Callithrix jacchus: one gene and its partners. The protein of the gene in region 1 purifies or fractionates together with the protein of each later gene. This does not show direct contact. Links are inferred from orthologs where the notes say so. Each region holds a gene or a part of one and is shown in the gene's direction. Other genes may lie near its edges. The genes, in order: SIRT7, MYBBP1A and UBTF.

Evidence for each region.
Region 2: the proteins of SIRT7 (region 1) and MYBBP1A purify together in Homo sapiens (affinity purification with western blotting; 3 studies listed by BioGRID, with this or other methods). This does not show direct contact. The link is inferred for Callithrix jacchus from reciprocal best matches to the Homo sapiens genes SIRT7 and MYBBP1A.
Region 3: the proteins of SIRT7 (region 1) and UBTF purify together in Homo sapiens (affinity purification with western blotting; 3 studies listed by BioGRID, with this or other methods). This does not show direct contact. The link is inferred for Callithrix jacchus from reciprocal best matches to the Homo sapiens genes SIRT7 and UBTF.

What each region holds. Positions count from the first base shown.
Region 1 is NC_133506.1:137,509,770-137,520,511, reverse strand, and holds the start of SIRT7 (NAD-dependent protein deacetylase sirtuin-7), read left to right. Parts: upstream 1-5,026; 5' UTR 5,027-5,035; coding exon 5,036-5,128; intron 5,129-5,198; coding exon 5,199-5,336; intron 5,337-5,448; coding exon 5,449-5,553; intron 5,554-7,510; coding exon 7,511-7,581; intron 7,582-7,678; coding exon 7,679-7,751; intron 7,752-8,462; coding exon 8,463-8,561; intron 8,562-8,634; coding exon 8,635-8,871; intron 8,872-8,997; coding exon 8,998-9,078; intron 9,079-9,278; coding exon 9,279-9,385; intron 9,386-9,856; exon of another isoform or gene 9,857-9,942; intron 9,943-10,537; coding exon 10,538-10,736; 3' UTR 10,737-10,742. Other genes in the region: transcription factor MafG, read left to right, coding at 79-114, 202-654. UniProt on the Homo sapiens protein: NAD-dependent protein-lysine deacylase that can act both as a deacetylase or deacylase (desuccinylase, depropionylase, deglutarylase and dedecanoylase), depending on the context. Specifically mediates deacetylation of histone H3 at 'Lys-18' (H3K18Ac).
Region 2 is NC_133506.1:68,225,478-68,235,527, reverse strand, and holds the start of MYBBP1A (myb-binding protein 1A), read left to right. Parts: upstream 1-1,148; 5' UTR 1,149-1,186; coding exon 1,187-1,399; intron 1,400-1,566; coding exon 1,567-1,662; intron 1,663-2,674; coding exon 2,675-2,758; intron 2,759-2,856; coding exon 2,857-2,931; intron 2,932-3,025; coding exon 3,026-3,139; intron 3,140-4,879; coding exon 4,880-5,055; intron 5,056-5,213; coding exon 5,214-5,381; intron 5,382-5,509; coding exon 5,510-5,627; intron 5,628-6,957; coding exon 6,958-7,253; intron 7,254-8,198; coding exon 8,199-8,309; intron 8,310-8,949; coding exon 8,950-9,075; intron 9,076-9,285; coding exon 9,286-9,453; intron 9,454-9,546; coding exon 9,547-9,646; intron 9,647-10,050. UniProt on the Homo sapiens protein: May activate or repress transcription via interactions with sequence specific DNA-binding proteins. Repression may be mediated at least in part by histone deacetylase activity (HDAC activity).
Region 3 is NC_133506.1:71,061,127-71,071,176, reverse strand, and holds part of UBTF (nucleolar transcription factor 1), read left to right. Parts: intron 1-203; exon of another isoform or gene 204-305; intron 306-425; 5' UTR 426-492; coding exon 493-550; intron 551-2,203; coding exon 2,204-2,379; intron 2,380-2,921; coding exon 2,922-3,005; intron 3,006-3,102; coding exon 3,103-3,258; intron 3,259-5,594; coding exon 5,595-5,659; intron 5,660-5,939; coding exon 5,940-6,060; intron 6,061-6,417; coding exon 6,418-6,528; intron 6,529-6,864; coding exon 6,865-6,998; intron 6,999-7,123; coding exon 7,124-7,265; intron 7,266-7,543; coding exon 7,544-7,585; intron 7,586-7,731; coding exon 7,732-7,845; intron 7,846-7,934; coding exon 7,935-8,090; intron 8,091-8,402; coding exon 8,403-8,558; intron 8,559-8,637; coding exon 8,638-8,748; intron 8,749-9,397; coding exon 9,398-9,486; intron 9,487-9,590; coding exon 9,591-9,780; intron 9,781-10,050. UniProt on the Homo sapiens protein: Recognizes the ribosomal RNA gene promoter and activates transcription mediated by RNA polymerase I (Pol I) through cooperative interactions with the transcription factor SL1/TIF-IB complex.

The sequences.
Region 1 (10,742 bases):
GGGGTGAGGGTGGTCTCCAGGGTACTGACCTCTGCTCTGTGTCTTGCAGAAAGCGCCTGCTCACTGTGCCCCCGGGTTATGACGACCCCCAATAAAGGAAACAAGGCCTTGAAGGTGAGTGGAGAGGGACAGGGAGCCTTCAGGCTGGGGTGGTGCCGTGGGCATGCCTGCTCAACCTGTGACCCTGTGCGCTGTGCCCAGGTGAAGCGGGAGCCAGGTGAGAATGGCACCAGCCTGACCGATGAGGAGCTGGTGACCATGTCGGTGCGGGAGCTGAACCAGCACCTGCGGGGCCTGTCCAAGGAGGAGATCGTCCAGCTGAAGCAGCGCCGGCGCACACTCAAGAACCGCGGCTACGCTGCCAGCTGCCGTGTGAAGCGGGTGACGCAAAAGGAGGAGCTGGAGAAGCAAAAGGCAGAGCTGCAGCAGGAGGTGGAGAAGCTGGCCTCGGAGAACGCCAGCATGAAGCTAGAGCTCGACGCACTGCGCTCCAAGTATGAGGCACTGCAGACCTTCGCCCGGACGGTGGCTCGCAGCCCCGTGGCGCCGGCCCGGGGCCCCCTTGCCGCCGGCCTGGGGCCCCTTGTCCCAGGCAAGGTGGCCGCCACCAGTGTCATCACAATAGTAAAGTCCAAGACGGATGCCCGATCGTAGGGACGCGCATCTGCCCAGGCGGGTCTTTGCGGGGCCACTAGGCACATGGCGAATTCGGCTGCCCTGTCCCTCTGTTTCCTTCTCTTTCCTCCCTCTCTTCCCTGCCCTTCTCTCTTCCCTGCAAAGCACAACCTGTACCCCAGGGGCACCAGGCTGAGCCCCTTTGATCTCGTCATTGTCGTCGTGTGTTTTGTATGTTGGGATTGGTCAGTTCGGTGGTGATGTGGGGTCGCCCCAACCCCTTTTGTACCAAGGCCATGCAGGCTTGGAGCCCAGAGTTGGTGCTGTGGGAATGGACTTGAGAGAAGTGCAGGGAGAGAGAAGGAGCAGGCACGCTGGGCCTCGCGTGTCCCTGAGCAGTGAGGGTTCCCATGTGTTCTCCCGGGCTAGGAAGGATTCACTCTCTTTAGCCCCAGGAGGGCAACTCAGCTCAGCCCAGCATGAAGAGACGGGCTGTGCTCTGAGAGCCGGCATGGCCTTGAGGGCCCTGATGAGTAGACCGCTGGCCTGGGCGCAGTGGTGCTGGGGCCTGCAGCTGGGGCCAGGGACTGCGCGCTCAAGCCTGACCCGTTGCACTGAACAAGACCAAATCGCTGGTTGTGCGCTTACGTGAGGGTGAGTCCAGTGTGCCCTGCGATGGGTCCCGTGTCACTGTTTACATGACCTATTTGTGTGGTTATATAGCCCTTTATTTAAAAGAGAGAAGTTCCTTTTACAAAGTTATTAATTATATGTTTAAAAGTTAAAGAAAAAAGCTGCAGAGTATTTATAAAACTGTCTTTTAGAAAAAAAAAAAAAAAGCAAGAAGACCATTTGACCATATCAATGGAAAAGGGAAGAAAGTATAATAGAAACTTTGCTAGTTAAAAAAGAAAAAAAAAATCCCTTTCTTGTAAACTTATGGACAACTCTTTGTGGCTGTTGGAATTTAGTTTTTATATACACAGAGTTATCGGACATTATTTATAAAACTTAGTTTAAAAAAAAGACAAAAAAAAAAAAAGCCAAGCCGTGAACCGACCAGAAGGCCGTCCTCTTTGATATCTTTTGCAATTGTACCGAAAGTGACTTACTCCTCTGCCCTTCCTGCTTCCGTCTCTTGCCGGTGCCGTGGTGTTGTCCGTGCCTGGTGAGGTTTTGTGCAGCGGTAAAGTGCTGGTGCTTCTGGTGACCTTTGACCTGTGGGTGTCACTTCTTGTGTCTGTTTTTCCGTGTTCGTTTTTTGGGTTTCATTGTGCTTTTGCTTCTGCTGGCTTGCTGGACCTGGGCTGGGGTGCCAGGGGGTACCTGCTTCGTCAGAGCTCAAGGAGTCTGTGCCCACCAGCAGTCCCTGATCCCTAGGAGGTGAGACGTGGGGCTCTGTCACGCTCACCCCATTGAACCTTGGCTACATCTATGTTTAGGGCTGGGGCTGATCCTGTGGCGGGGTAGGTGACATTGGGGGTCCCTTGGGGCCCCCCCACGCTGCTTCCACAGCCACCACCTCTGGCCTTGGGTGGTGGTGTTGCAGGGACCAAGGAGTCACTGTGGGTGGCCACAGGAGTTCCCTGGCTGTCTTCCTCTGGCCTCTTCACGTGGGGCCTCAGCTGGGAGCCCCAGGGGCACGCACCGTGGGCTGCAGGTTCCACCGCCCACTTGATCCCTGAACTGTTTCCATGCTGCAGGGTGCTTCCAGGCAGAGTGGTGGGTGGCTCCACCAGTGCAGACAAGGGCTACGATCTCCAGGGCTGGGTCTTATCCCTCTTCTCTGCTGGTCCATCCTGGCAGCACTTGGCTTCAGGCCTTCCTTCTGCCTCCCTTTGGGATCTGTCTTCCAGGGATCAGCTGCTTGGCTTCACTGGGGGTGCCTCCCTCTGGGGGCCCAGCCTGCCTCTTGCTCCCAGTTCCTCGACAGAGGCTGCTGCCCTTCCCGGCTAGGCTCAGGAGGCTCCTGGTAGGCATATGATGGGGAGAGGTGTCCCCACCCCAAGAGAGTACAGCCCTGTGTCTGGCCATGTAAACTTTGACCTTTCACCAGGGTTGCTGGTTTCTTCTCTATGGGGCCCAGTCCCCTGTAAAGCACAGAAATGTGGGCTGGTGAGATGAAAAACTGTGGCCGACAGGGCTTAACCCTGTGGGTGGTGGGATTTTCATCCAAGAGTTTGGCCTGGTGTGCCTGTGAGATGTGAACAGGGATGTACCATCAACATTTGTCTTAATGAGCTTCTCTTTGCTGTAGGTGTTCAGAGACAACTCTTGTTTCTACCTAGGCCAGCCTGAAAATCGAAATCTTGACTCTAGTCATTTAGTGACTTCATCCCCCTCTCCTCAGTCTAGTTTTGTCTAACTAGAATCCAGGCATTAGTTGGAATCATATCAAAAGTATCTATGAAGAAAATGTCATGATCTGCCTTGGAGCAGGAAGGAACAGGCCCTCCTTGTCCCTGTGTGGCCCCCACTTTTGTCCTGGCTGGGGGTGGCCATTCATTTTGAGCACCTCTGCCAGGCTGCAGACCTGGAGGCAAAGGGAGTGCAGAAGAGGAGGGTGTGAGGGTGGGCGCAGGCTGAATGGAAGGGGTAGTCCTTGACGTGTTGGCAGAAGAGGCCTCTGGAGTGTTGAGGCCATACCTCCTTTCAAGAGCTTTGAATTTGGAGCGACTTCCCTAGGTCTAGGGGAGTGTTCCTGTCTCCTGTCAGGCCAGCCCTGTGGAGCCACTCCATCCCTCTTCCCCTTCCTTGGGATTTCCTGACATAGATGCTGTGTTCATGTGCACATGTGAGTGTGCTGTCCTTCTGATAGCTTCATCCCGCTTTCCTACTGAGAAAAGGGTGGTGGCCTCTTCTCACCTCAGCTTTTCTGACACAGCCAATTGAGGGCTATGGCCAAGGCCAGGTCTCTCAAACTTGTCCGCCAAGTAAACCGTGATGTATGTCTTCCCTTCCACCTTGACTTTGCCCCAACTCCTCCCTTACCCTAACATGGATACTCAGATTTCAGAGAAATGCCTGGTGGGGACAGGTCAGCTCTCACCCAGAGAGTGAGGCCCTGGCTGCTGCTCCGGGTGGTGCTGGTGTTGCTGGGGCTTCAGCTCTTGGTGCATGTTTCAGATATGTGTGCATACTTCTGACCAGCAGCAGCAGCAGCAGCCTCAATAGTCAGTGCCCAGCCCACAGCCCTGAGGAGCTGCAGCCTGCTTTGGTACTATGGTAAGGTTCCATGTTGTCCTTGCTGCCTCCCGCTCTGGAGTGGCCACTTGACCAAAGCTTCCATCCACATCTGGAAAGTCTGAGCCTCGGCCTGCTACACCTTTTCCGCTCTGGGATCTTGTGTTACTTTTTTAGGCTGTGGTTTGGTGAAAGGAACCAACACATTAACGATTTTTCCCCCCAGAAGCCACTGAATAATTCTTTTGGCATAATTTTGCCTTCCTGTTGGCTGTCTGGCCTTGGAGCAGGTGGGGAGAGTGGAGTGCATAATCAGTGCCACACAGAGGCAGGGTGTGTCTGAGAGACCGATGCCTGGCCTGTCTCTGGCCTGTGTCCTGGGCGGGTGCTACACCTGCCAGACCAGTCCCCCACACATTTCCACCCTGCCCCTGGAGCAGCAGCTTTGATACCATGGGTGTCCCTTGAGTTTGAGATACAGTGTGAGAGTGTGTCCCCTATAAACTGTGAGACCTCCCTGTTCTTGGTGACCCCAGTTGGGCTTAGGCCCCTCCAGCAACCTGTGTCCCAGCCCTGCCCTTTTTCCCATCCCTCAATCTGCTAGTCCCTGAAGCCTTTAACCAAACGGGAGTGGGTTCAGAAAGCCTTCTCCTGGCAACTTAGGGCAGCAGGACAAGGGCTACCCGCATGTCCAGCCCTGTTGCTCTCCTGGCGCTGAGAGGTGGGTCCAAGCAGAGTTGATCAGTCCCTGCCTGCCCTGTCTAGGTCTAGCCAGGGTAGGCTGTGTGTGGGAGAGGACCTCGGGATCTGCTGGGGTGGGATAAAGGTTATTAAAGATCTAAGTGAGGAGGGGCTGGGGTTTGGATGCGGGCTGAGGCCCGAGAGCTCACACTTCGTGTAGGGCGGGCAGGGGCCTGACCTGCAGGGCAGTGGCCTTAGTGCCCCACCCCTGCCCTGCGCAGTATTTATTGCTAAATTATTGTCCAGGAGGGGCAGCACTGGGCCTGCCCCCCCCGGGTATTTATTGCTGTATATAGTGTATGTTTGTGATATATAAGGTTTTCTTTATTTTGTATATGATCAATAAACCTTTTAAAGAGACCGACAGGTGCTTCTTTGGAGTGACGCAATGGGCGGGGCCGGAAGGGGGGGGGCCTGGGGGCCCGGCTCACGCATGCGCCTTGGGAGCGGCCTGCCTTGTGAAGCGGAAGCGGAAGCGCGGGTCTCCAGGGGAGCCATGGCAGCTGGGGGTCTGAGCCGCTCGGAGCGCAAAGCGGCGGAGCGGGTGCGGAGGCTGCGGGAGGAGCAGCAGCGGGATCGCCTCCGCCAGGTACGCATCCGCCGCTCCCCGGCCCACCATGCCCGGCCGCCGCTGCCGCTCACCGCCCGCCTGCCCGCAGGTGTCACTCATCCTGAGGAAGGCGGCGGTGGAGCGCAGCGCGGAGGAGGTCCGGCTGCTGGCCGAGAGCGGGGACCTGGTGACGGAGTTGCAGGGCCGGAGCCGGCGGCGTGAGGGCCTAAAGCGGCGGCAGGAAGAGGTGAGTGCAGCGCGCGGAGGCCGCGGGCGCCTCGGGTTTCGGGAGCAGCTGGGGCGACGGACGGCCCAGGGTGGAGCGACCCGGGGCGGTGACCACCTTGGCGTCTCGACAGGTGTGCGACGACCCGGAGGAGCTGCGGGGGAAAGTCCGGGAGTTGGCCAGCGCCATCCGGAACGCCAAATACTTGGTCGTTTACACAGGCGCGGGAATCAGCACGGTAGGGAGGAAGGCAGGGATTGGTGGGGGGTGCCCCTTCTGGGAGGTGGACCCCAGGACGGTGTATGCGCTCCAGTTGGTTAACTCCCCAATCGTGAAAAACTCATCTTTAAAGCAGCTCTAAGGTTTTTTCCTTTTTTAGAAAAACACGAAACGACCAAAACTTACCTAAGGTAAAGACTTCTTAAATGCTTGGCCTCTATTACAGCCAGTTAAAAACAAAAAAGCAGATATGAATGGGATGTAGTAGCCAACTGCTCTCAGGCACCCCCAGGTTATGTGGACAGAGCTAAGCCCAAAATTGTCTTGTGATTCTCCACTCTGTTCTCTGCATGTTGAGGGAAGATAAAAAGAAAGTGACACAGTAAGAGTCGGACTATACCAGGTAAAGGAGAGAATTGCAATGCGTTTTGAGAAGTTTCACTGACAAGCTCTCCTGGGCTGTGAGACATCACTAGCTTCGAAAATGTAGCTGGCACCTTGTCCATCGAGTCTAATGGGTGAGCATGGAGTGCTAGGCACGCCTGGGTATAGCAGATCTGAACGCCAGGTGATTTCTGTTCTCAGGAAGCGTTTAGATGACAAGAATCAGGCATGTGAACAAACAACTGTAAGGTAAAGCTGGCTGTGCTAGATCACTAGAACAAACCCAGACAAACACACTGTCCTCATGGAGTTGAGAAACCCATCTGTGTTGGCTTTTTGTGGGAGGTGGCCATGAGTTGGGCCTTGAAGAAAAGAAGGTGGGAATGAGGCACTACAAGCAAATAATAATAGAAGCTCAGCAGCAAGAATGCAGAAAAGGAGTTCATTGCTAACTTAGATACCTGGAGCCCTTGGGGTTTGGGTCTCCTACCGCCACAGTCATGTGTGAAAGTCCAGTCATGCTGGGCGCGCTGGCTTACGCCTGTGATCCCAGCACTTTGGGAGGCTGAGGCGGACAGATCACGAGGTCAGTAGTTCAAGACCAGCCTGGCCAACATGGTGAAACCCTGTCTCTACTAAAAATACAAAAATTAGCCAGGCGTGGTGGCGGGTGCTTGTAATACCAGTTACTTGGGAGGCTGAGGCAGAAGAACCACTTGAAACCGGAAAGTGGAGGTTACAGTGAACCGACATCTTGCCACTGCATTCCAGCCTGGGTGAAAGAGCAAAATTCCATCTTGAAAAAAAAGTCCAGTAATATAATTATATAGCAATCATGTGACCTCTTACAGAGAACTTCCAGTGGCAACTGAGAGCACATGCAGCTCGTGGATTTCATGTTACTGTTTGAGGTTCCCCTCTTGAATGTGACTGTCTGAATACTGCTGTCCAGGGCGGGTGTGTGTTTCTGAGTTTAAGCAGGAGTTGGGAGATGACTTCCCCAGTAGGAAACACAAGACACCTTTATCCTGGCATGTCTTCTCAGTCCTTCTCTGGGCCTCAGTTTGTTTCACAGGATTGGAAACCTGGGAAGTTAGATGCTTATCTCATCTGGAGAGGTGGTTCTGCTTTTGTTAAGGTGGAGCAGGAACCCTTAGCATCTGGATATGAGAATGGACATTTGCCTGCCCCCACCTAGGGATTCACCATTTGCTAAATGTGTGAGCTGTGGGCTCGGCCCTGGGGATGCTTAGGAACATGACTTGTCTTCCCCTGCCATGTGAAGGACACATGTGCCACAGAGCCCAGCTTTGTGCTTGGTGCCAGAAAGGCTCCCAGAGACAGGCAGGGCTGTGTTTAACCTGGAAGGATAAGCTGGGCCAGGCAGGAAATGGAAGTCCAGGTAGAAGGGAGGGGCCAAATTGCGGTACACACCATATGGGCTCAGGTTGGTCAGCCTGTGGAATGCATAGAGGCCAACGTGCAGGCCAGCCCGGATGCAGCAGGAGGGACAGTGGCTCCCTGTTTCTGGGAATTCTGCCAGTACCTACAGTGGTGCCTTTACTTGGCTTGCCTTTTTTCTTGACATGCAGGCAGCCTCTATCCCAGACTACAGGGGCCCTAATGGAGTGTGGACGCTGCTTCAAAAAGGGAGAAGTATTAGGTAAGTGGGCCAAGCGTGGCCTCCCACATGGGCTGAGCAAGGGCAGTGTGGGCCTGAGCTCCAGCTCCCTTCACCTTGCCTTCCCTCCGCCTGGTAGTGCTGCTGACCTGAGCGAGGCTGAGCCAACCCTCACCCACATGAGCATCACCCGTTTGCATGAACAGAAGCTGGTAAGAGCCCAAGGCGGCTGGTACACTTGGCAGAGCATCTTGGTGCTCAGTGGACAACTGCATCCTGCCTCTGTCTACCGCTTGACTCCCATGATGAGCACCCACCAAGTGGGTTAGACCCCGGGTTGGATCCTCCCCCTGCTTCCTCTCCAAGACAGAAGGGCAGCGCCCCCTCTGAACCATCTCATCCACAGCCAGCCTCAGACCCAGAGGTGCCAGTGGCCTTTCCCCTTTGTGATTCCTTTGCATTTTTCTGTGGATCTCAGAAGCCATCCTAGTCACAGGGGAGGCTTGTAGGAATTCTCTGGGGACCTTCTGCTGAACACCCTCAACCAAGGCACCGGTAGGGGTTGATCTGCTTGGGTCCGAAGGGACCTGAAACATCATGACCCACAAGAGCATGGATCCAGAGCAAAGTGACCCTTGCCAAAGCCCCAAGCCACTTCCCAACCTTGCTGGGACGGTACAGCCTCTTGCCCTCCCAGCCAATCTGGGTGCATCAGGGCTGGAGGGAAGGGCACAGCGCCACCCACCATAGGCCCTCTTGAGTCTTGGTGGTTGGTCCTATTGTGTGTTGTACTTTCAAAGGCTCTCTGTGGGGTTGGAGTTGTTCCTGGTCTTGGGAGCCATCAGCTGGGTTCAGAACAGCCTCTCTGTGGCCTTGTTTTGATATCCCCACCCTCTGACAGCCCTTCCCATTCCACCTTCCAGGTGCAGCATGTGGTGTCTCAGAACTGTGACGGGCTCCACCTGAGGAGCGGGCTGCCACGAACGGCCATCTCAGAGCTCCACGGGAACATGTACATTGAAGTGAGCAGTCCTAAGGGGACCCGGGAACTCCACGGGCAGGCGGGTCCCACTCACTGTGCCCTCTCCTCTTCAGGTCTGCACTTCCTGCGTTCCCAACAGGGAGTACATTCGGGTATTCGATGTGACGGAGCGCACCGCTCTCCACAGACACCAGACAGGCCGGACCTGCCACAAGTGTGGGGCCCAGCTCCGGGACACAATTGTGCACTTTGGGGAGAGGGGGACGTTGGGGCAGCCTCTGAACTGGGAGGCGGCAACTGAGGCTGCCAGCAGAGCAGACACCATCCTGTGTCTGGGGTCCAGCCTGAAGGTGCGTGCCAACGACACCATGAATGAGCTGAGCCCCCACCTGCCCAAGGGTGTCCAGCTCTGCAGCCCAGCACTCTACAGCCTTGTCCCTTGTGTGTGTGCTGTGTCTGTCCGTCTGTTCCCACAGGTTCTAAAGAAGTACCCCCGCCTCTGGTGCATGACCAAGCCTCCTAGCCGGCGGCCCAAGCTCTACATTGTGAACTTGCAGGTATCTCGGGTGCTGAGAGCCACATGCTCGGACCTGGGCCTTAGAATGCAGAGCCAGAGACACCCATGCACCAGGGCAGTCTGATAGGGTCCCCCGTGGGTGTTCAGGGAGCAACGACCGAGGCCACCTGGGCCGAGGCTGACAAGCCACTAGGAAGGATTGGGCTGCTTTTACCCTCATTTGGCTTTCCCTGTCCTCAGTGGACCCCAAAGGATGACTGGGCCGCCCTGAAGCTACATGGGAAGTGTGATGACGTTATGCGGCTCCTCATGGCCGAGCTGGGCTTGGAGATCCCTGCCTATAGCAGGTGAGTGGGCCTCCGCAGCAGCCCGTTTACCCGCACCTCATGTGCTGGGCCTTGTCTGTCTTCTTTCATGAGCTGAGCGTGGAGGAGGCTCTGAGGTGTTCGCAGCGATGTCTGAGGCGTGACTGAGGCGTGGTGGTCTCCAGAGGGCCTGACCTTGGTGTTTGGCCGAGACTATGCATGGGCCACTCGTGCGCCAGCTGATGGTGCACAGAATCCCTAAGGGGAGAGGGATTCTGCCCGCATGCTGCTGCTCCAGGCCTCCCCATGGAGCTCTCTGAGATGCCTGGTGGGAAATGTCTCGAGGGGACGTGCACTCAGCAGTCTGGTCAGACAGAATCTGTGCTTGGTTTTGGGAGTTGGCGTATTTTGGGAAAGCTTAAACTTGTGCTTTAATACAGAATTTGTGCTAATTTAGACTTGGTGTATGTATTGAGTAAAAAGTTTACACTCTCTTTCTCTGTGAATTTTCAGGGTCTTATAGGGGAAATCAATAACTTCTTTTAATCAAAGGGTTCAAGAATTAAGGATCCCTTCGCCTTCTGGGCCTGGCACTTCTTGTATGTTATGTGTGTGGTGTTCTGTGATGTGGGCTATCGTGTACTGTATTTTTTTTTTTTTTACATTAACTTAGCTCATTTTCCTTATCAGTGCTTATCTGTATCTTAAGTTATGATCTGTGGTTCTACATCTCAGTAAGACACATGGTTTCTTCACGGTGTCGTCTGTAGGCCACGCCTCCCTAGTCAGCTGGGAAAGGGGAGAGGGTCTGGTCCACCTGCCCCTGGCCTTACAAGTCAAAGGTGGGGCCCAGAGTTGCTAGTGACTCATCCCTGGAGACGGAGGCAGCCCTGGGGCCACTGCTGCCCCGCCCTGTGTGTGCACGCTGCTCAGTGGTGGATGAGGACACGGAGTTCTGAGGAGACCAAGCTAGCTAATGTGGGCACTGACCTTTAGTGACACCTGAGAGGTGACCTCTCCCACATCCGTTCTGCAGCTTGGTAACAAGCTGCCACCAACTGGAGCCCAGCCGCGGTTGACACGGGAGGGAAGGGGATGGGAAGGCAGGGACCGCAGACAGCTTTCCCGAGCTGGGGAGGGTGTGACTTCGAGAGGCTCCCAGGCCTGCCTGATGCAGCTTTCCCTTTTTGGCAGGTGGCAGGATCCCATTTTCTCACTGGCGACTCCCCTGCGTGCTGATGAAGAAGGTAGCCACAGTCGGAAGTCGCTGTGCAGAAGCAGAGAGGAGGCCCCACCTGGAGACCGGGGTGTACCACTTAGCTCAGCCCCCATTCTAGGGGGCTGGTTTGGCAGAGGCTGCACAAAACGCACAAAAAGGAAGAAAGTGACGTAACCTGGT
Region 2 (10,050 bases), about 69 Mb from region 1:
ATACCATTACATACATGTATATATGATTATGTATGAAGAGCTATGTGATTACGTGATTATACATCTGTATATAGTTATGCTTACATATGAATAGCTATATGATTATGATTACATATAACTATGTAACTATATCGCTAATTCTTTTTGAGTTTTTTTATTACATTTTAGGTTTTGGGGTACATGTGAAGAACATGCAAGATTGTTTACTAATTCTACATTTATATGAGAATGTGCTGAGGCTTCAGGCCCTTGCTTTGGCTCTTGCCGGGTTTACACCCACAGCTTAACAGTTATTAGCAGCTTATTCCTTAACAAGAAAAGAAACTTTAAAAGGAACTTTTCAACTTTCCACATTCGTGTTTTTAACCGGTGATGTATTAACGTTCCAACACTGAAAAGGCTCCCTCTGACCCCTGCATTCCCAGTTCTCTTCATAATTACGATTTTTTTTTTTTTTTTTTTTTTTTTTTTTTTTGAGGCGGAGTTTCCCTCGTTACCCGGGCTGGAGTGCAATGGCGCGATCTCGGCTCACCGCAACCTCCGCCTCCTGGGTTCAGGCAATTCTCCTGCCTCAGCTTCCTGAGTAGCTGGGATTACAGGCAAGCGCCACCTTGCCCAGCTAATTTTTGTATTTTTAGTAGAGACGGGGTTTCACCATGTTGACCAGGATGGTCTCGATCTCTTGACCTAGTGATCCACCCGCCTCGGCCTCCCAAAGTGCTGGGATTACAGGCGTAATCACGATCTTTTTAAATGTATTTAGCTCCGTCTTCCTCCACGAAAGCGGCAGCTTTGTTCCAACCGCCTAGCGCGGCGCACAGCAGGAGCCAGTAACTGTTGAATGGCTCAGGGCTCCGAGCGCAGGGCCACCCTGGGACGAGGCGGATGATGTGCTGCACCTCGGTTTGTTTCCGAGATGGACCCTCAGAAACCGCCCCTTGGGGCTCCAAAGGGGCAGATGCCCCAGCCACCGGGGCAGAGCGGGCACGAGCGTAAGGCTGGAGCCACCGCGCGCGGCGCAGCGAGGAACTTCCGCTGAGAGCGAGGGCGGAAATGCCGCCCTTCCTGGGTCCCCCGCCCCCTGCCCCGCCCCTCCCAGGTCCCTCTCCGAGCCAACTCAAAAAACCAGTGCGCATGCGCCTGGCCCTGACCTGGAAGCGGCTGGATCCCGGGCACACGTGTTTGGATGAGTGTCGCGGAGATGGGGAGCCGGGAACCCGCCGAGCCCCTGTCGTCCGGAGACGCGACACAGAACAGCGCCCGGCCTGCGGACCGCCACGGCCTGTTGAAACACAGCCGCGAGTTCTTGGACTTCTTCTGGGACATTGTGAAGCCTGAGCAGGAGACGCGACTTGCGGCCACGGAGAAGCTGCTGGAGTATCTGCGCGCTAGGCCGAAGGTGGGGCGGCGGGTTTGGGGCAGGGGCCGCGCACTTCCCGCAAGGAAGCGGCGGCGGGCCCAGGGATTTGGGATGGGGGCAAGTGGTCGCGAACCTGGATGCCAAGGTGCGCGGGGGTGTGCAGCTTCTTGTCACCGTTCAACGCGAGCATGCGCTTGGTTCCGCAGGGGTCCGAGATGAAATACGCCCTGAAGCGGCTCATCACGGGACTCGGGGTCGGGCGAGAAACAGCCCGGCCCTGCTACAGTTTGGCCCTGGCCCAGGTGAGGTGGTGTTCCTGGCAGGATCCCAGCCACGCAGGTGAAAACGGTGGGGTGTGCGGAGGGCGGGTGTCTCAGCGCGGCGGAGGGGCAGCCCGGAGAGAAGTGTAAGCTGATTGGAGGCCAGTCTGAGGGAGCCTCCTCACAGGAAGGTGGAGAAAGCATAAGCAGGGCCTGTCTCCAAAGCAGTCCAGGCAGAGGGAGTGGAGAGCGGAGCAGGTTTTCTTTCTGGTGCTTGGGTTACCCGGACTCTTAGGTACACTTGCTGGGAGCAGTGAGCGCTGGGTGGGGTGGGCTCCCTTAGGGGGCATTCAGCTGATTGGAGTAGCCCACTCTCTGAGGAGCCCTGACAAGGGGAAGAGCAGTTAAGACGCAGGCTCGCCGGATCAGCCTGAGTGGAGCTCAGACCAGGCTGTGGAGAGAAGACCCAGTGGCTGAGAATTTCAGCAGAGCAATCTAGGGGCTGTAGAAGGTACTTTTGTGGCTGGGAGCGGTAGTGGCACACACCTGTAATCCCAGCACTTTGGGAGGATGAGGCGGGTGGATCACCTAAGGTCAGGAGTTCGAGACCAGTCTGGCCAACAGGTTGAAACCCCATTTGTACTAAAAATACAAAAATTAGCTGGTGGTGCACACCTGTAATCCCCAGCTACTGTGCGTGCTGAGGCAGAAGAATTGCTTGAGCCTGAGAGGTGGAGGTTGCAGTGAGCTGAGAACACAACACTGCACTCCAGTCTGGGCAATGAAGCAAGACTCCATCTCAAAAAAAAAAACTGCCCTGGCCCCGTCCCAGTCCAGTCCCAATCCCAGAACCACTTGCAGACGGTACTTTGGAAGCCCACAGGAGTGGAGATGTGGCAGGGAGGCAAGATTCGTTTCCCTGAGAGCAGCTTCAGAGGCATTCTTGGGGTGCGACTAGGCACCTGAGGCTTCTTGGGAGGAGTTGAAGGAGGAAGGGAGGTTGAGGTGTGAGGATGTACTGGGCCACTTCCTGAGCCCCTGTTCCTCCTGGCAGCTGTTACAGTCTTTTGAAGACCTCCCTTTGTGCAGCATCCTGCAGCAGATGCAAGAAAAATATGACCTGCATCAGGTGAAGAAGGTGAGAGTGGGCCTGGGGAGGTCAGCAGCCCCGGGGGTGAGAGGCTGGGGGTGGGAAGTCCCACGGCCCCTCATGCTGTGCCTGGAATCCTCTTCTAGTCAATGGTGAGACCTGCTCTCTTTGCAAACCTGTTCGGAGTGCTCGCCCTCTTTCAGTCAGGCCGGCTGGTGAAGGTGAGAACTTTGGGAGGGCCAGGGGATGTAGGCTGGCCTTGGATGGGTGGGGGACAGTAGCAGTCCCTGCTCATACCCTCTACCCCTCTGTGAGGACCAGGACCAGGAGGCACTGAGGAAGTCAGTGAAGCTGCTGCAGGCCCTGGCCCAGTACCAGAACCATTTGCAGGAGCAGCCCTGGAAGGCCCTGGTGGACATTCTCTCCGAGGTATGAGCTCACCAGCCTTGCGGGTTCTGGAGACACTTCCCGCTACAGAGACATCAAGAGGGCTCAGATGAGAATCAGGAACAGCACTGTTCCATAGAAATATAAAGGCATATAATTTGAGGTGTTTCAGTGACTTTGTTGAAAAGGTAAAAAGAGGCTGGGCATGGTGGCTCATGCCTGTAATCTCAGTACTTTGGGAGGTGGGCGGATCACCTGAAGTCGGGAGTTTGAGACCAGCCTGACCAACATGGAGAAACCCTATCTCTACTAAAAATAGAAAAAATTAGCCAGGCATGGTGGCGTATGCCTGTAATCCCAGCTACTTGGGAGGCCGAGGCAAGAGAATCGTTAGAACCCAGGAGTTGGAGGTTGCAGTGAGCCAAGATCACGCCATTGCACTCCAGCCAGCCCAAGCCATATAAGAGCAAAACTCTGTCTCACAAAAAAAAAAAAAAAAAAGGTAAAAAGAAACAGATGTCATTAGTAACATTTTACATCATTTAGTATATCTAAAATATTATTTCAATATGCATTTGTATACAAAACTGTTGAGCTGGCCGGGCACAGTGCCTCATACCTGTAATCCCAGCACTTTGGGAGGGTGAGGTGGGTCAATCACAAGGTCAGGAGTTTGAGACCAGCCTGGCCAACATGGTGAAACTCTGCCTCTACTAAAAATACAAAAAATTAGCCAGGCATGGTGGCAGGCACCTGAAGTCCCAGCTACTCAGGAGGCTGAGGCAGGAGAATCACTTGAACCAGGGAGGCAGAGGTTGTAGTGAGTTAAGATCGCACCATTGCACTTCAGCCCAGGTGACAATATGAGACTGTCTCAAAAAAAAAAAAATCGTTGAGGTATCTTCACTCTTTTTTTCAGTGTGTTTCAAAATCCAGCGTGTATTTTACACGGCACATCCCTGTTCAGATTTGCCGCCTTTCAGGCGCTCAGCAACCCCATGTGGCTAGTGCCGCTCTAGAACTGAACCTGACACGTGGCAGGTATATAAAACGTTTGCTGTTGCCGTCCTGGTCAAGGCTGGTCCCTCGTGGGCCTCCACTGCCCAACTTGGGAAGGTATACCTATGCCTTTTTGCCACTGAAGAGAAAGGCAGGGGCTGGCAAGTCCCAGACCAGGGCATACCAAGGAGTCTTGACCTCAGCGCCAAAAGGACCTGAATTCAAATCCCAGCTGTCTACCTAGGGCCCCTTGTGTATAAAATGGGCTAGTCCTCTGAAATCCCAAAACCAGGAATGAGTAATGGGTAGCTCTGGCCAGGTGCCATGGCCCACAACTTTAATCCCAGAACTTTGTAAGGCTGAGGTGGGTAGATCACTTGAGGTCAGAAATTCGAGACCAGCCTGGCCAATATGGTGAAACCCCATCTCTACCAAAAATACAAAAATTAGCTGGGCATGGAGTTGCACACCTGTAATCCCAGCTGAGGTAGGGGAATCGCTGGAACCAGGCAGGTGGAGGTTACAGTGAGCTGAGATCACACCACTGCACTTAGCGTGGGTGGCAAAGCAAGACTCTGTCTCAAAAAAAAAAAAAAAAAAAAAAGGGCAGGTAGTTCCGGGCCAGTTAGCATCAGCAGGGTGCTTGTCAAAAAACCTAGCTGCCTAGGAATTTGAGTATTTTAGCAAATGGTCTCTGATGACTCTGGTGCCTGGCAGGTAAAAGAGGCCTCACTGGGCTCACCCGGCAGAGGAAGCCACCATTTCTTACCTCTCCACCCTTAGGTCTCGGAGGCCACATTGGAGGAGATGCTGCCAGAGGTCCTCAGCACTGACTTGGATGCCATGTTCAGCTGCCCTGAACAGCTGGGGCTCTTCCTCCTGGCCCAGCAGAAGGTGCCCTCTAGGCTCAAGAAGCTGGTGGGATCCATCAACCTATTTTCGGATGAGAATGTTCCCAGGTGTGAGGGAGGTGGATGAATTTGCTCTCTCTGGGGCCATAAGACTGCATCTGGCCAAGCCCAGATTGGCCGTGTGGCCTGGAAGTGCCCCGGCTGCTCTTGGCACCCTGGCCCTTGCTGGTAAGGCAAGCGTTCCCTGAGTCGTCTGCCCCCCACAGGCTGGTGAACGTGCTAAAGATGGCAGCGTCCTCCGTGAAGAAGGAACGCAAGCTGCCCACTGTCGCTCTGGAGCTGCTCCACCTGGCACTCAAGGAAAACGAGTTTCTGCGGTTCTGGAAGGGGGTGGTGGAACAGGGGCTGCTGAAGCTGCAGTTCTGGCCAGCCAGGTGCGTGTGGCACGTGGCCTCTCTCAGCCCCCTTCCCTGTCTGTGAAGTGGGGCTGGGCCGCCAGTCCTGATGTCCCTGCCGGGGGACCAAGGGCTCTGACCATGCTCTGTCCCACACTCCCTCTTAGCTACCTGTGTTTCCGCCTGCTGGGCGCCGCCCTTCCCCTGCTGACCAAGGAACAGCTGCAGCTGGTGATGCGGGGAGACGTGATCCGCCATTACGGGGAGCACACGTGCACAGCCAAGGTGGGCAGGGGCTCTCCTTGCCAAGAAGGGGAGAGGGCACCTCAGGGCCTGGCCAGAGACCTGGGCGTGTCCACTGTCTGAGCTGTCTGAACCCCTTCCCCTCTGACAGATTGTTTTGAGTTGGAGTTTTCTCTTGTTGCCCAGGCTGGAGGGCAGTGATGCAATCTGTGCTCACTGCAACTTCCGCCTCCCGGGTTCAAGCAATTATCGTGCCTCAGCCTCCTGAGGAGCTGGGATTACAGGTGCCCACCTCCACACCCAGCAAATTTTTGTATTTTCAGTAGAGACAGGGTTTTGCCATGTTGGCCAGGCTGGTCTCAAACTCCTGACTTCAGATGATTCACCCGCCTCGGCCTCCCAAAGTGCTGGGATTACAGATGTGAGCCACTGCGCCCGGCTTCCCTCTGACAGTTTTGAAAAGGAGCGGGCCCCCACTTGAGCCAGACCTCCCTCCACCCCCGCCCATGTTGCGGTGATGAGAACAGTCATCGTGACCGTGTTTAAGCACCGGTGTGCCTGGTGCCCAGTCAGCACTGCTGGGTTTACTGTTCTCAGCAGCTCATTTTATCTTTGCAGCAAGTTTCCAAGAGCTGTCATTCTGGGTGGGGGCAGACTTGAAGCATCAGGCAGTGATTTAGAGCCTGCGTTGGACAGTGGTGTGCAGCTGTAGTCCCAGTTACTTAGGAGGCTGAGGTGGGAGGATCACGTGAACCCAGGATTTCGAGGCTGCAGTGAGCCATGATCATGGCACTGCACTCCTGGGGCACAACTGGAGAAAATTACAATGAGAAGAGCTTGGGCTGTGAGGCAAGACGTGGTCCCACTGGGAGCCCTCTGACCCTGAGAAGTTTTATTCTACGTTTTTGTGCCTCACTTTACTCACCTACACAATGGCAGTAATGGCCAAGTGCAAAGGGTTGCTAAGATGCTGAGCTGCCAGACAAAACGTGGAGCACGGGTCCTGGCACCTAGGCAGCACGTGAGAGGTGGTTGGGTAGGTCCCGAAGATGACACAGCGAGGAATTGGCGGCATAGGCCTTGAACCCGGGTCAGCCTAGCCTCTTAACCACGGCTCTGCCTGTGCGTTGAGCCAGGAAAACGGGCCATCCCCACCCAGCAATGTGGCGAGAGGGACCTTCTGGGGCCAAAGGCACTGAAGCTGGGGAAGTCAGACCCGGGGAGGCCTTGACGCCAGACAGAAGCACTGGCGTGACCAGGAATGGAGCAAGCTCAGGCTCAGCCCTGCTGTGTGCAAGGGGAGACCCTGGGCCTCGGTTTAACCCTAAAGGCCGCAAGCTTATGGGCTCAGTGCCGTGCCTAACTCTTATAGCTCCCAGACCAGTTCAAGTTCGCCACGGAGATGGAGGAGTACGTGGGCACCTTCCTAGAGGGATGCCGGGACGACCCTGAGCGGCAGCTGGCTGTGCTGGTGGCCTTCTCCTCCGCCACCAACCACGGCCTCCCAGTGGTGCCTACCTTCTGGCGGGTCGTGCGGTTCCTGAGCCCTCAGGCCTTGCAGGGCTATGTGGCCTGGCTGCAGGGCATGTTTCTCCAGCCGGACCTGGACTCCTTGATTGACTTAAGCACCGACAACCCGAAGAAAGCTCAGGATGCATCACAGCACATGTGAGTGGACCGTGCAAAGGACCTGTCCTTCAGGAGTTAGCTTCCCTAGCCTGCAGAGCCCAGCGATCCCGCCACCCCCACCCCCCACCCCCGCCCTCGGTGTCCTGGCTCTAAACCATGAGCAGAGAGAGGGGAAGCACCATAGCTCTCAAACGAGACCTTGGTTTCCTTGTGAGGTCCTGCACTGGCAATTGGGAAGGGGAGAGCTTGGTTTTCTGTCTCTTGAGATCAGTTAAAGGAATGTCATGTTTCTGCTAGTTCGTTCTTTTTTTTTTTTTTTTTTTTTTTTTTTTTTTTTTTTTTTTTGATACAGTCTCACTCTGGCCTAAGCTGGAGTGCTGTGGCATGTAATCTCAGCTCACTGCAAATTCTGCCTCCCAGGTTCAAGCGATCAAGCGACTCTCTGCCTCAGCCTCTCCAGTAGCTGGGACTACAGGCACCCATCACCATGCCCAGCTACCTTTTGTTTTTTGAGATGGAGTTTCCCTCTTGTTGCCCAGGCTGGAGTACAATGGCACAATCTCAGCTCACTGCAACCTCTGCCTCCCAGGTTCAAGTGATTCTCCTGCCTTAGCCTCCCAAGTAGCTGAAATTATAGGCCTGTGCCACCACACCCAGCTAATTTTTTGTATTTTTAGTAGAGATGGGGTTTCTCCATCTTGGTCAGGCTAGTGTTGAACTCTCAACATCAGGTGATCCGCCCACCTCGGCCTCCCAAAATGCTGGGATTACAGGCGTGAGCCACCGCACCCGGCCTTAATTTTTGTATTTATTGTGGAGATGGGGTTTTATCATGTTGGCCAGGCTGGTCTCGAACTCCTGTGACCACAAGCTATCCACCTGCCTCGGCCTCCAAAAGTGCTGGGATTACAGGTGTGAGCCACTGGGCCCAGCCTGCTTTTGCCAGTTCTAAGTGGCTCACATGACCTCGCCCCTGCACCCCAGGCCTAAGCGAGCTGTGTTCCGGCTGCGGAAATGGATCATCCTTCGACTGGTGAGCCTTGTGGACAACCTGTACCTGGAGATGGAGGAGGCCTTGACGGAGGAGGTGGCCAGGTATGAGAGGTGCTGGAGCTTCCTGCAGGCATGTGGTCAAGGAATTGAGCCCCTCAACTCGTCCTGATTTGTGTCCTCTGGAGCCAGAAACCTTTGGGTTGAGTCATCAGTGGGGAGCAGGCACAAGGGGACTTGGAAATTCCTCAGGAGCCTGTAGGGAGGGGACCCAGGAGGTACCCCAGCTGCAGGCACCTAAGAGGTTTGGGTGTGCTGTGCATGCCCTGCAGGGAGCCTTTGCCCAGGGAATGCCTCGTCTGTGCCCGAGCAGAGCCAGGTGCTCACCTCGCCTTCAGCATGCCCGGTTGCAGGAGGGGGCTGCACTGGCCCCATGTTTGCAGGAGCAGTGGCGTGACTCGGCCGTGACCACACAGCCTCACATCTCTTGGTTCCTTGAGAGGGGCACTGATTCTCTCTCCCTAGCTCAGGTTGAGCCATGTTCAGCTGGGGATTCAGCCCTTCCTGGCCCAGCCACCTCCAGCCTTGCCCGTGAGGGCCCTGAGGACTGTACCCAGAGCAGAAGGGGACAGAAGGGCCCCCCTCCTCCTCCTGTTCTTGAACCCTGGGTGGTGCCACCAGGGGAGGGGAGCCCGTGGAAACAAATGGCCGTGAACGGCACCAGCTGCTCTCCCGCCTGCCCCAGGTTTTGTTTGTTCCACTCGTTCTTCGTCACAAAGAAGCCCACATCCCAGATCCCGGAGACAAGGCAGCAGCTCTCCTTCCCTTTGGAAAGCCAGGCCCGAGAGGCCGTCAGCAGCGCCTTCTTCAGGTGAGCCTGGGGCGGCTCAGGAGAGGTCCGAAAGTGGGAAGGTCTTCAGGACGCCTGCTCCCTGCAGTTCCCCTACGCTGGGGACAACGGCCGAGGCCCAGGGAGTTCTAGCAGGTCCTGGAGAGGTGGGAGACCGAGCCCTGGGGAGGGCGGAGGGAGGTGGCTGTATTCACTTATCGGTCTGGTGACCAAGCCCTGCCCATCGCCCAGTCTGCTGCAGACCCTCAGCACGCAGTTTAAGCTGGCACCAGAGCAGACCCGGGGCGGGCAGCCCTGGACCTACCGCCTGGTACAGTTTGCAGACTTGCTGCTGAACCACAGCCACAGCGTGAGCCTTGTGACACCCCTCACTGCACAGCAGTGCCAGGCCTGGGACCGGTGAGCGGGTGGGATTTCCGGGGGGGGGGGGTTGGCAGGACCCTGTGGTCTGATGGCAGCTGGGGTCTGAGGGATCTGCCTGGCTCCCTGCAGGATGCTTCAGACTCTGAAGGAGCTGGAGGCCCCCTCCTCAGAGCCCAGGGCTGCTGCCTTCCAGCACCTTCTGCTGCTCGTGGGCATCCACCTCTTCAAGGTACTGTGGCCTGGGACGGAGGGGCCATGAGCCTGGGGTCCTGTGGCTATGAGGGCTATGGGGGGGAGCCAGGAAAGGCTTGGGGAGTTATGTTGGGAGGTTTCCTAAGCCAGCCTCAACATGAGTGGAATTATCACCAAGGAAACATCACTCCGGCCCCTTAGCAGGCACCAGCTGGTGTCCTGAGCTTTCCAGGCAGGCCTTCTTAATCCCCACAACTTGAGGCAGACTCTACTTCTCCATGTTTGACATGGGGAAACTGAGACTCAGAGGCAGAGTAGCTTGCACTGTACCTTCTGGCTGTGGGAACACCTTCTGGCCACGGGTTCTCTAGAACCACAGGGTCTCCCTCTCAGTTCTTCCCATCAGGAAGCCCTGACCACATTCAACACTCACCTGATTCC
Region 3 (10,050 bases), about 66 Mb from region 1:
AGGAGGAGACTGGGGCGCGTGCCCGCTTCCGTGGTCGCGCGCGCCCTTTACCCGCCCTTCCTCCTCCCCCGCCCTCCAGCCTGGGGCCTCCCCGGGGCGGGCGCTCAGAGGAGGAGGAGTTTTTTTTGGCCAGGGTTGGGGAAGGAGGGCGGAGGGCGGGCGCTTGCTGCACGCGGGAGCTGGGAGCAGGCTCTCGCGTGGGCAGAGGAGGGCGCGCGCCGCGGAGCTGGGCTGCAGGGTTTGGGGGAGGGGGTCAGGAAGCAGAGGAGGGGCTCACTCCCACTCCCACAGACCCTTTAAATCCAGTAAGGTCATGGTTGGGACTCTGAGAGTGTGGACCTGCCCCTCTCCACTCTGGGAGGGGAGGGATAGAAAGTCATTCACCTCTTACCCTGCCTGAGTGGGAACTGGTATGTCTTCCAAAGGGTGAGGTGGTTTTGACCCCGGGTTGCCCGGCCAGCACGACCAAGGAGGTGGCTGGACAGCTGGAGGATGAACGGAGAAGCCGACTGCCCCACAGACCTGGAAATGGCCGCTCCCAAAGGCCAAGGTAGGGGCATTCATCCCCAGCCCTCTGAAAGTTAAATCCTCTTTTTCTCATGGCTGCGGGGCTCACTCCCTTCTCAAGGGCTTCTCCATACTCTGAACTGGGCAAGAAAGTGCCTTAAGTATTGATGAATCAAGCATCTCCCACACTTGAGGTGTGGTTGAATTCAAATTATTTGGCCTGGAATGGCTCACTTCTCCTTTCCCTCATCCCCTGAGTTTGAGGCGGCATGCCTTCTGGGGTCCCATTCAGCCTGAAGTGTGTCCCGTCTCAGTGTCCTGGGATGGGAGGAAGAATGAGTGTAGAGGAAGGGGCTGGGGAAGTCGTCTCAGGGTTTTTATTAAGACGATGAGGCTTTTATAGAGATAGGTGGAGAAAAGAGGTGTTTTAAGGCCCCAAGCCATGGGCTATATGTACTCACCTAGACCTCTGCCTCACTCAGCAGTGATCAAGTCTGTATGGGGCTGGAAGGTAGGATGAAGCTGGGCAGCTGGCCATGCTTGGGGGATATTGAAGGGAGAGGGGATTATGGGTCCATGTGACCTGCTCTGCAGAAACCCTGGCCCAGGTTAGGAGATGCAAATGAAAATGGAGAGGAGCCCTTTTGACTTTTGGCCTTGGGTGGCTATTCTCCCAGCCCATCCGCAGAAGCCTAGAGTGCTCTCTGGAGCTGCATTTCCGTGGCTGAAAATAGCTAGTCCAGACCTGGTCTTGCTTCCCTGGGGAGTTGGGCTGACAACACAGCTTGTTATTCTGGGGGTTCTCCCTGGAGCAGGGCCCTGAGAGCTTTTGTGCACCTGCCTCCCTTACCTCAGAGCTGCTCTGTATGCTGCTTCTGTTTCTGTTCCCTTTTTCTTGTTTGCCAGAAATTCTTCCTTGATCTACGCTGAGGGGCCTGGGGGTGGAGGTGTCTCTAACACTGGTTTCCATCTGTGCAGCGCAGACATCTGCATGGGTTTTCCTTACTGCCCACACCCCCTTCTCAGTCCTTGCATATTTAGGGTATCCTAAACTCGGAACTTGAGCTTGGCCACACATTTAGGTATATTGCCTCCCTGCTTCCCACCTTCTCTGACAAGCTACCTGTTTCCCACAAAGCCCTGAATCACTATACCTTCATACCCACTCCTCTTCCCTTACAATAAATAGCTGCTGGTAGCAGCCTGGCACGGGAGAAATGATAATAACTTTGAAGCAAGCCAGACTTGTGTTCAAGCCTTGCTTTTTTTTTTTTGAGACGGAGTTTCATTCTTGTTGCCCACGCTGGAGTGCAATGGTACCATCTCCACTCACTGCAACCTACACCTCCCAGGTTCAAGTGATTCTCCTGCCTCAGACTCATGAGTAGCTGGGATTACAGGCGTGTGCCACCATACCCAGCTAATTTTTGGGTTTTTAGTAGAGACAGGGTTTCACCATGTTTGCCAGTCAAACCTAGCTTTCTAGGTATGGCATGTTCTGGACTGGAGTCCCTGCCTTGATCCAATATGGCCACAGTTGGCTTAGAACTGAGTTACGTTTTATCTCTGCCTTCAGATGGGAAGCAACCAGGGGCTGGGATTTCCTAGGGAAAAAGGGTTGAGCACTCAATAACTGGGGAACAGAATAGGGGGATAGCATGAGCCAGGTACGATGGCCTCTGTTACCCTTCACCAGATCGCTGGTCCCAGGAAGACATGCTGACTTTGCTGGAATGCATGAAGAACAATCTTCCATCCAATGACAGCTCCAAGTTCAAAACCACCGAATCACATATGGACTGGGAAAAAGTAGCATTTAAGGACTTTTCTGGAGACATGTGCAAGCTCAAATGGGTGGAGATTTCTAACGAGGTAACTGATCCCCTTCCTGACACACATGTATACACATCTCCACATACACCTACCTCAGCTGTGGTGGGGGGAAGTGAAATAGCCAGCTGTAAACAGGAAGGAAAGAGACCAGGAGAGGTGTTTGTGTGGTCGCCTGCTAGCTCTCTACCTGCCCTTGTGCACTTTGGGAGGTGGTGTGGTTGACAGCACTGGCTTAGAGTTACGCCACTTTCTATCGGTCTTGAGCCAAACAGCCTGAGCTGTGCTGAGATTGAAGGAGGTGCTGGCATGGAGAGCCAGGTAGAGGTCATGTCGTCCGCTTGTTGCTGGCCTTTGGTGTGCACTGACTGCCTGGGCCTCTGCAGTAGGCATGGGCCAGGGCCTGGGTGTCATGCTGCCTGCTTCATTTGGCTGTTGGCCTCTGCTCTTTGGTAACTTTAGTCCAGTGAAGAGTAGAAGAGACCCGTTTCAGGATGGGAGTACCCGTGGTAAGATAGGGATATGCTACTGTGTGGCATTTTCCTTTTCTCAACTTCCCCTCCTTTCCTCTCCTCTTCCTCCAGGTGAGGAAGTTCCGTACATTGACAGAATTGATCCTTGATGCCCAGGAACACGTGAAAAATCCTTACAAAGGCAAAAAACTCAAGGTGAGTTACTAGAAAGAGGCGCATGAAGGGTAGGGGAGGAAAGGTCCAAATAACAGATGGTATATGACCTCCATTATGTCCTTGTCCCTCCTTCCAGAAACACCCAGACTTCCCAAAGAAGCCCCTGACCCCTTATTTCCGCTTCTTCATGGAGAAGCGGGCCAAATATGCGAAACTCCACCCTGAGATGAGCAACCTGGACCTAACCAAGATTCTGTCCAAGAAATACAAGGAGCTTCCAGAGAAGAAGAAGGTGGGGGGAGGAGAGCTAAGGTGGGAGGAGGGGAGAGGCTGGGAGCAGCTGGGGTGGTGTGGGTCAGTTGGAGGTAGGCCTTGGAGGGACCTGGCATCGGGGACAGGTGAGTCAGCACAGCAGAGTAGGTCCTGGGCAGTCACACCTGATTGCCCCTTCCTCAGCCCACAAGTGGTCAGGCATGGGCACCGTCACAGACGTAAACCAGACAGCAGGTGCTCAGGCCAACCTTTCCCCCTGTAGAAAACCCACAGTGTTTTGTTTTATAAGGCTCTCCCCCATCCACCCATCCTCACTGTCAGGCTGCACAGCACTTCTTCCCTCTCTGTGACGCTTCCTGTCATGGTCTCATTTGATACTTGCAGTGTTTTCGAAAAGGAAACCCAGGAAAATGTTATCCCAGTTTTGTGTGCAGGAGGGTTACGTGGCCTGAGTGACACAACTGTTAATGCTATAGCAGGATAGTGTCCCAGAGTCCCAGCCAGTGCTCTTACTGCCACGTCCACCTGTGAAGTACACCTCTCCACACACACACATGTTCACTCAAGGACACACATTGCCCCTCCTGGCCTCATGCTCTTCCTTGCAGAGGTCGGGCACTGTCTCAGACCATCAAAGCATTAACCCTGAGCAGGGGGTTGCCCAGGCCTCCCAGGCAGGGCTAGAAGCAGTCACACACACAGCTCAGGGGTTCCCTCCTAGAGATAGGCAGCAAAACACTGGAGGAGCCTGCAGATAGGACACGAGAAACATGGGATGGGGAGAGAGGACCCAAGGAAGAGACATTGGATGAGGAGACAGCCAGGGATAGATGGGAATGACAGCAGGAAAAACAAGAAGCACATCTGCTTGGCAAGGAAACAAAGTCATACACAGCCAGTTCTCAAAAGATGACGCTGGCAGCCACCACGCTGTGAGTAGCCCTCTTTCCTGGTTGGCATACCCTCGCTGCGGATTCACATGCGCATGGTGCTGTACCCAAAAAGAAGCCAGCTGTCTGCAACCTCTGCCCAAGCAGAGCAGGGGTATGGAGTGCTGGAACTGTTCTTGGCCCTTTTGATGAGGATGTTGGACAGTTGACCACACATACCCAAATACTCTCATGGGATGGGAGGGAGAGGCCAAGAGTCTGAGAGCCAGGGAAAGCCAGAAGAAACCGGTAGAGTGGACGAGGTGCTGGCCTGGGGGACACAAGACTTGGGCCTGTTCTCCTGGCTCTGAACTCGCTGTGTATGGGGTCTTTGGTAAGTCACTCCGCTTCTCTGGGCCTGGTCTTTATGTGAGGTGAGCCAGGTCTGTGTGGTGCCCTCCAGCTCTGAAACTATTTTGTGAGGAGGACTGAGCTTGGGGAAGAGGAGGCTGAGCTCTGCTTCTGGTTTTCTGTGAGAACTGGAGGGAAAGGTGCTGCCTCTCTATGCCTGGTGCTTCTCTAAGAGGCAGGGGTTGGGCTTAATTGCCATGAGCTCCTGGCACCTTCCAGTGCCACTCTTGTGAGCCTATGAAGGCAAAAGAAGAGATAGACATTATGTGGGAGCCAAGAAAGGAGGTAGATATGGAATAAAAAAAGACGGATTACAAGAGGGAGGCCATGGAGAGGTGGGCAAGGATGCAGGGAGGGAGGGAGGTGGGGGTGGGAAGGGGGTGAGGCTGAAAAGGGGGTGATGAAGGGAAGTCAAGTGGTGGGAGAGAATGAGTGGGCTGAGGGAGGGAGGGAGGGTTGGAGGATCCAGACAGCTGGGATCCTGGAGAAAAGGAGGAAGGTGATGGTGTCAGAACTGGACAGGAAGGCGCAGGGCTCCTGGCCGTGGCTTGTATTGTAAGAACTCTGGGTTTCCCTCCACACAGTAGTCTCCTCTCATACTTTGGAAACAGGACTCAGCCCAGCCCTGGTCCTATGTAGAGGCCACCTCCAGGGGTACAGGCTAATGTCAGCTGCCACAGACAATAAGAGAGTGATGGGAGCAGGGCCTGCACCTGACTCCACTGGGTATTTTGTGGTGGTGGAGAAATGGGTGGGGGAGCGCCAGCACTGCCACTGCGTACTGCATGACTGGGTAATGCCACGGCCCCCTTCTCTGACTCTCCCTTGCAAGGAGAGAATAGGATGTAGGATTTAATGTCTGGGTGACCCCTGCAGCTCCCACCATCTGTAGTAGAAGCCAGCAGGTCTCCTCTGTGATGAGTCCCGCGGGGAGGTGGGCAGGGTGCCAGCCTCCACCCCTGCACCACAGCATAGGAGGCCGCAGAGAGCGCACAAGGAGGGGTCTGGGTGGCTTTCTTAGCTCAGGGTGAGATATCCTTGGGTCCTGGGTGACCCCATCCCCTCCTCCCCTCAGATGAAATATATTCAGGACTTCCAGAGGGAGAAACAGGAGTTCGAGCGAAACCTGGCCCGATTCAGGTAAGGCAGTGGAGCCCAGAGGAGGGCTACGGGCACTGGGTACAGCTGAATAGGCTAACCCTGGCCAGAGCCTGGAGTTTGCCGTCTCTGAGGCATGGAAGAAGGATGGGTCACATGTGAGCCCTAGTGTGTCATGCTCAGAGGGGCAGGGACAGTCAGGCAGCCACCGTCCCACTGAGCCACAGCTGAAAGGCCAAGGAGGCTTGGTGGGTGGGGCAGCTAGCTTGGGTCTGCCCTGGCAGCATCCCCTGCTGATCCTTGCTCCCCATGTCCTGGCTAGGGAGGATCACCCTGACCTAATCCAGAATGCCAAGAAATCGGACATCCCAGAGAAGCCCAAAACCCCCCAGCAGCTGTGGTACACCCACGAGAAGAAGGTGTATCTCAAAGTGCGGCCAGATGTGAGTGTCCGGCCAAGGGTTGGGGGTGGAGGATGCACGGTGGTGGCCAGGGGGGAGCCGCGCCAGGTCGGCTGGGCACGGTGCAGGGGAGCAGGAGAGGAGGCCCCTCCCCAAGGGTGGGCTGCATGGACAGGGCCTGGGCCAGCTGGCGTGCGAGCGTGTGCGTGCGTGCGTGCGTGTGTGAGCCAGTCCCCTTGTACCCAGGCGGGATCCCCGCCTCTCCACCTTCCCCTCCTGGCCTGTGGGGGACACTGATGTGACCTCCCATGGCCTGAGGGGGCGGGGGCCTCTGTGCCCCCTTCCCCCCCCCCCCCACTCCTGGCTGCTTGTGCGTGTCTGACGGCTTTTGGTTTGCAGGCCACTACGAAGGAGGTGAAGGACTCCCTGGGGAAGCAGTGGTCTCAGCTCTCGGACAAAAAGAGGCTGAAATGGATTCATAAGGCCCTGGAGCAGCGGAAGGAGTACGAGGTTAGGCTTCCGCTGCGCTCCTCCCCGTCCGGCTCTTCACGAGCCTCTGCCCTTCGACTCCGTGGCCACCGCACTCTGCGGAAGGTGTCACTCCCCATTCCTCTTTTGAGGGAGGGGCCTTCTGGGCCCCTTGCCTCTGCCCCTACCTTCCCCACCCCCCGCCCCATGAGATCTCAGGCTAGGGCAGGGCAGGGCACCACGTCTCGTGTGACACTGCTGACACACAGCCACCCCCAGCTTTGCTCCCTGCCTGCCCTCCCCAGCGGCTCTCCCCCTACCCCTGCCCCAGCTAACTCCACACCACGTTGCCCTCCGTCCCCCCACCTGGCTCTGCAGGAGATCATGAGAGACTATATCCAGAAGCACCCCGAGCTGAATATCAGTGAAGAGGGTATCACCAAGTCCACCCTTACCAAGGCCGAACGCCAGCTCAAGGACAAGTTTGACGGGCGACCCACCAAGCCACCTCCGTGAGCGCTGCCCTGGGGTGGGTGGGCGAGTGGGTAGCTGGGGAGTTGGGTCGGACTCTGTGGGCGAGGAGGCCTGCCGCCCTGCTCACTCACGGGCTGCACCTCTCCCCCCACGGCTCCGATAGGAACAGCTACTCGCTGTACTGCGCAGAGCTCATGGCCAACATGAAGGACGTGCCCAGCACAGAGCGCATGGTGCTGTGCAGCCAGCAGTGGAAGCTGCTGTCCCAGAAGGAGAAGGATGCCTATCACAAGAAGTGTGACCAGGTGAGCTGTGGCAGGGGCCGTCCTGCCTTGGGGTTTTGAAGCATGAGGTCTGACCCCAGCTTGGGCCAGTCAGTTCTTGGTGGCATATACCTCAGGTACCTGCTTCCATTTGGGTGTTGGGCTGGGCTGGGCTGGGCTCAGAGCTGAGCCCATCCAGGCAGGGAGTCCAGCCCACACCCAGGCTCTGGAGGCCCATTGAAGGTCACTGTCCTCCGAGTACTGCAGGGTCTCTGGTGACGCTGTCTCCAGACTGATCCTGACTCCACTCACTTTCCCAGAAAAAGAAAGATTACGAGGTGGAGCTGCTCCGTTTCCTCGAGGTGAGTGTTCCTCCAGTAGGGCACTGGGCAGAGAGGACTGGGGCTTGGCAGGCAGAGCCCTAGTGAGCCCCTGGGGATAGGGCACCATTCAGCCCTATAGGGCATGGTGCCAGCCATGCAGCCCCATGCTCTTCTCTCCTGCCCAGAGCCTGCCCGAGGAGGAGCAGCAGCGGGTCCTGGGGGAGGAGAAGATGCTGAACATCAACAAGAAGCCAGCCACCAGCCCTGCCTCCAAGAAGCCAGCCCAGGAAGGGGGCAAGGTGGGCAGGGGGCACGGCCATGCAGGCGGGGGTGGGCAAGACGGCTCGCTGGCAGCACCCACGGACCCTGACCTTTTTCACCTGGACAGGGCGGCTCTGAGAAGCCCAAGCGGCCAGTTTCGGCCATGTTCATCTTCTCCGAGGAGAAGCGGAGGCAGCTGCAGGAGGAGCGGCCTGAGCTCTCAGAGAGCGAGCTGACCCGCCTGCTGGCCCGAATGTGGAACGACCTGTCTGAGAAGAAGAAGGTCAGCCTGCCTGGCAGAGAGCCGCTGCCCCCAGGGGGCCTGCCAGGGCCCATCTTCCCCTCGGCGGTCCGTGCCACCTGGCCGCCTGGGCCTCGCGGTGCCTGGGCTGGGATGTGGGGCCGGCGCCCAGCAGCCGGAAGGCGGGAAGCTGTCAGCTGAGCGCCACGGGCCAGGTCGGGGCGAGCCCTGGGCTGGAGACAACTGCACCAGCCCACCGCTCTGCCCGCCCCGCGGGTGCGCCTCGGCTGCTGCACGGGGAACGCGCGCCCCCTAGGGGTGGACCGAAGGCTGACGTCCCGGCCCTCCCCGTAGGCCAAGTACAAGGCCCGGGAGGCGGCGCTCAAGGCACAGTCGGAGAGGAAGCCTGGCGGGGAGCGTGAGGAACGGGGTAAGCTGCCTGAGTCCCCCAAGAGAGCTGAGGAGATCTGGCAACAGAGCGTCATTGGCGACTACCTGGCCCGCTTCAAGGTAACAGGGGTGGGACAGGACAGTACTTCAGCCTTTAGCCCCTGGTGACCCCACGGCTGATACCCTTATCCTTCCCCAGAATGACCGGGTGAAGGCCTTGAAAGCCATGGAAATGACCTGGAATAACATGGAGAAGAAGGAGAAACTGATGTGGATTAAGAAGGCAGCCGAAGACCAAAAGCGATACGAGGTAGTAATGGGGTTGGGGCCACCCCATTCACTAAAAGCTTGGGGGCTCCCCTTTGGGTGGGCAACTCTGAGCCAGAAGGCCTAGCCTTGATCTGTTACCCTTAGCAAGGCTCAGCTTCCTTCTCTGAACCCATGTCTCTCAATGCTAGCCCCCAGGCTGACTCAGGAGGCACAGTTGTAAACTGTGGTGCCTGCCAGAGACCTGAGTTGTTAGGAAGTTGCTCACTAGTTGTGCCTGTTTCTTCTCCTCCCCGGCACAGAAAAGACAGAGGCCGGGCACGGTGGCTCACGACTATAATCCCAGTACTTTGGGAGGCCCAGATGGGTGGATCACAAGGTCAGGAGATCGAGACCATCCTGGCCAACATGGTGAAACCCCATCTCTACTAGAAATACAAAAATTAGCCGGGCATGGTGGCGTGCACCTGTAATCCCAGCTACCCGGGAGGTTGAGGCAGAAGAATCACTTGAACCCGGGAGGTGGAGGTTGCAGTGAGCCAGGATCATGCCACTGCACTCCAGCCTGGGTGACAGAGCGAGACTCCCATCTCAAAGAAAAAACAGCCAGCCAAGGTGCTGATGGCATGGGGCAGAAGGCAGCAGTATTTTGGGGGTGGGACTGGGGTTGAGTGTGACCTTTCTCCCTCCAGAGAGAGCTAAGTGAGATGCGGGCACCTCCAGCTGCTACAAATTCTTCCAAGAAGATGAAATTCCAGGGAGAACCTAAGAAGCCTCCCATGTGAGCCTGGGGGTTGGATCCTGCCCTGGGGGTGGGGGACGGTCAGAGCTGGAGGACTGCTTTGTTGGGGTCCTGACCCTCCTTGTATCACCCCCACCTCCCAGGAACGGTTACCAGAAGTTTTCCCAGGAACTGCTGTCCAATGGGGAGCTGAACCACCTGCCACTGAAGGAGCGCATGGTAGAGATCGGCAGCCGCTGGCAGCGCATCTCCCAGAGCCAGAAGGAGCACTACAAAAAGCTAGCCGAGGAGCAGCAAAAGCAGTACAAGGTGCACCTGGACCTCTGGGTCAAGGTGAGAGGGCAAGGGACCCTTGGAAGGAAGAGGGAGGCATCGTGCTGGCTGGTCTCATGATTTCATTCCATGCCCTCACAGTCCTGCAGGATAACCATTACTATTACCCTTTTATTTTTATTTTCTGAGACAAGAGTCTAACTCTCTCACCTAGGCTGGAGTGCAGTGGTGTGATCTCAGCTCACTGGAACCTCCACCTCCCAGGTTTAAGCAATTCTCCTTCCTCAGCTTCCAGAGTAGCTGGGGCTACAGGCGTATACCACCACACCC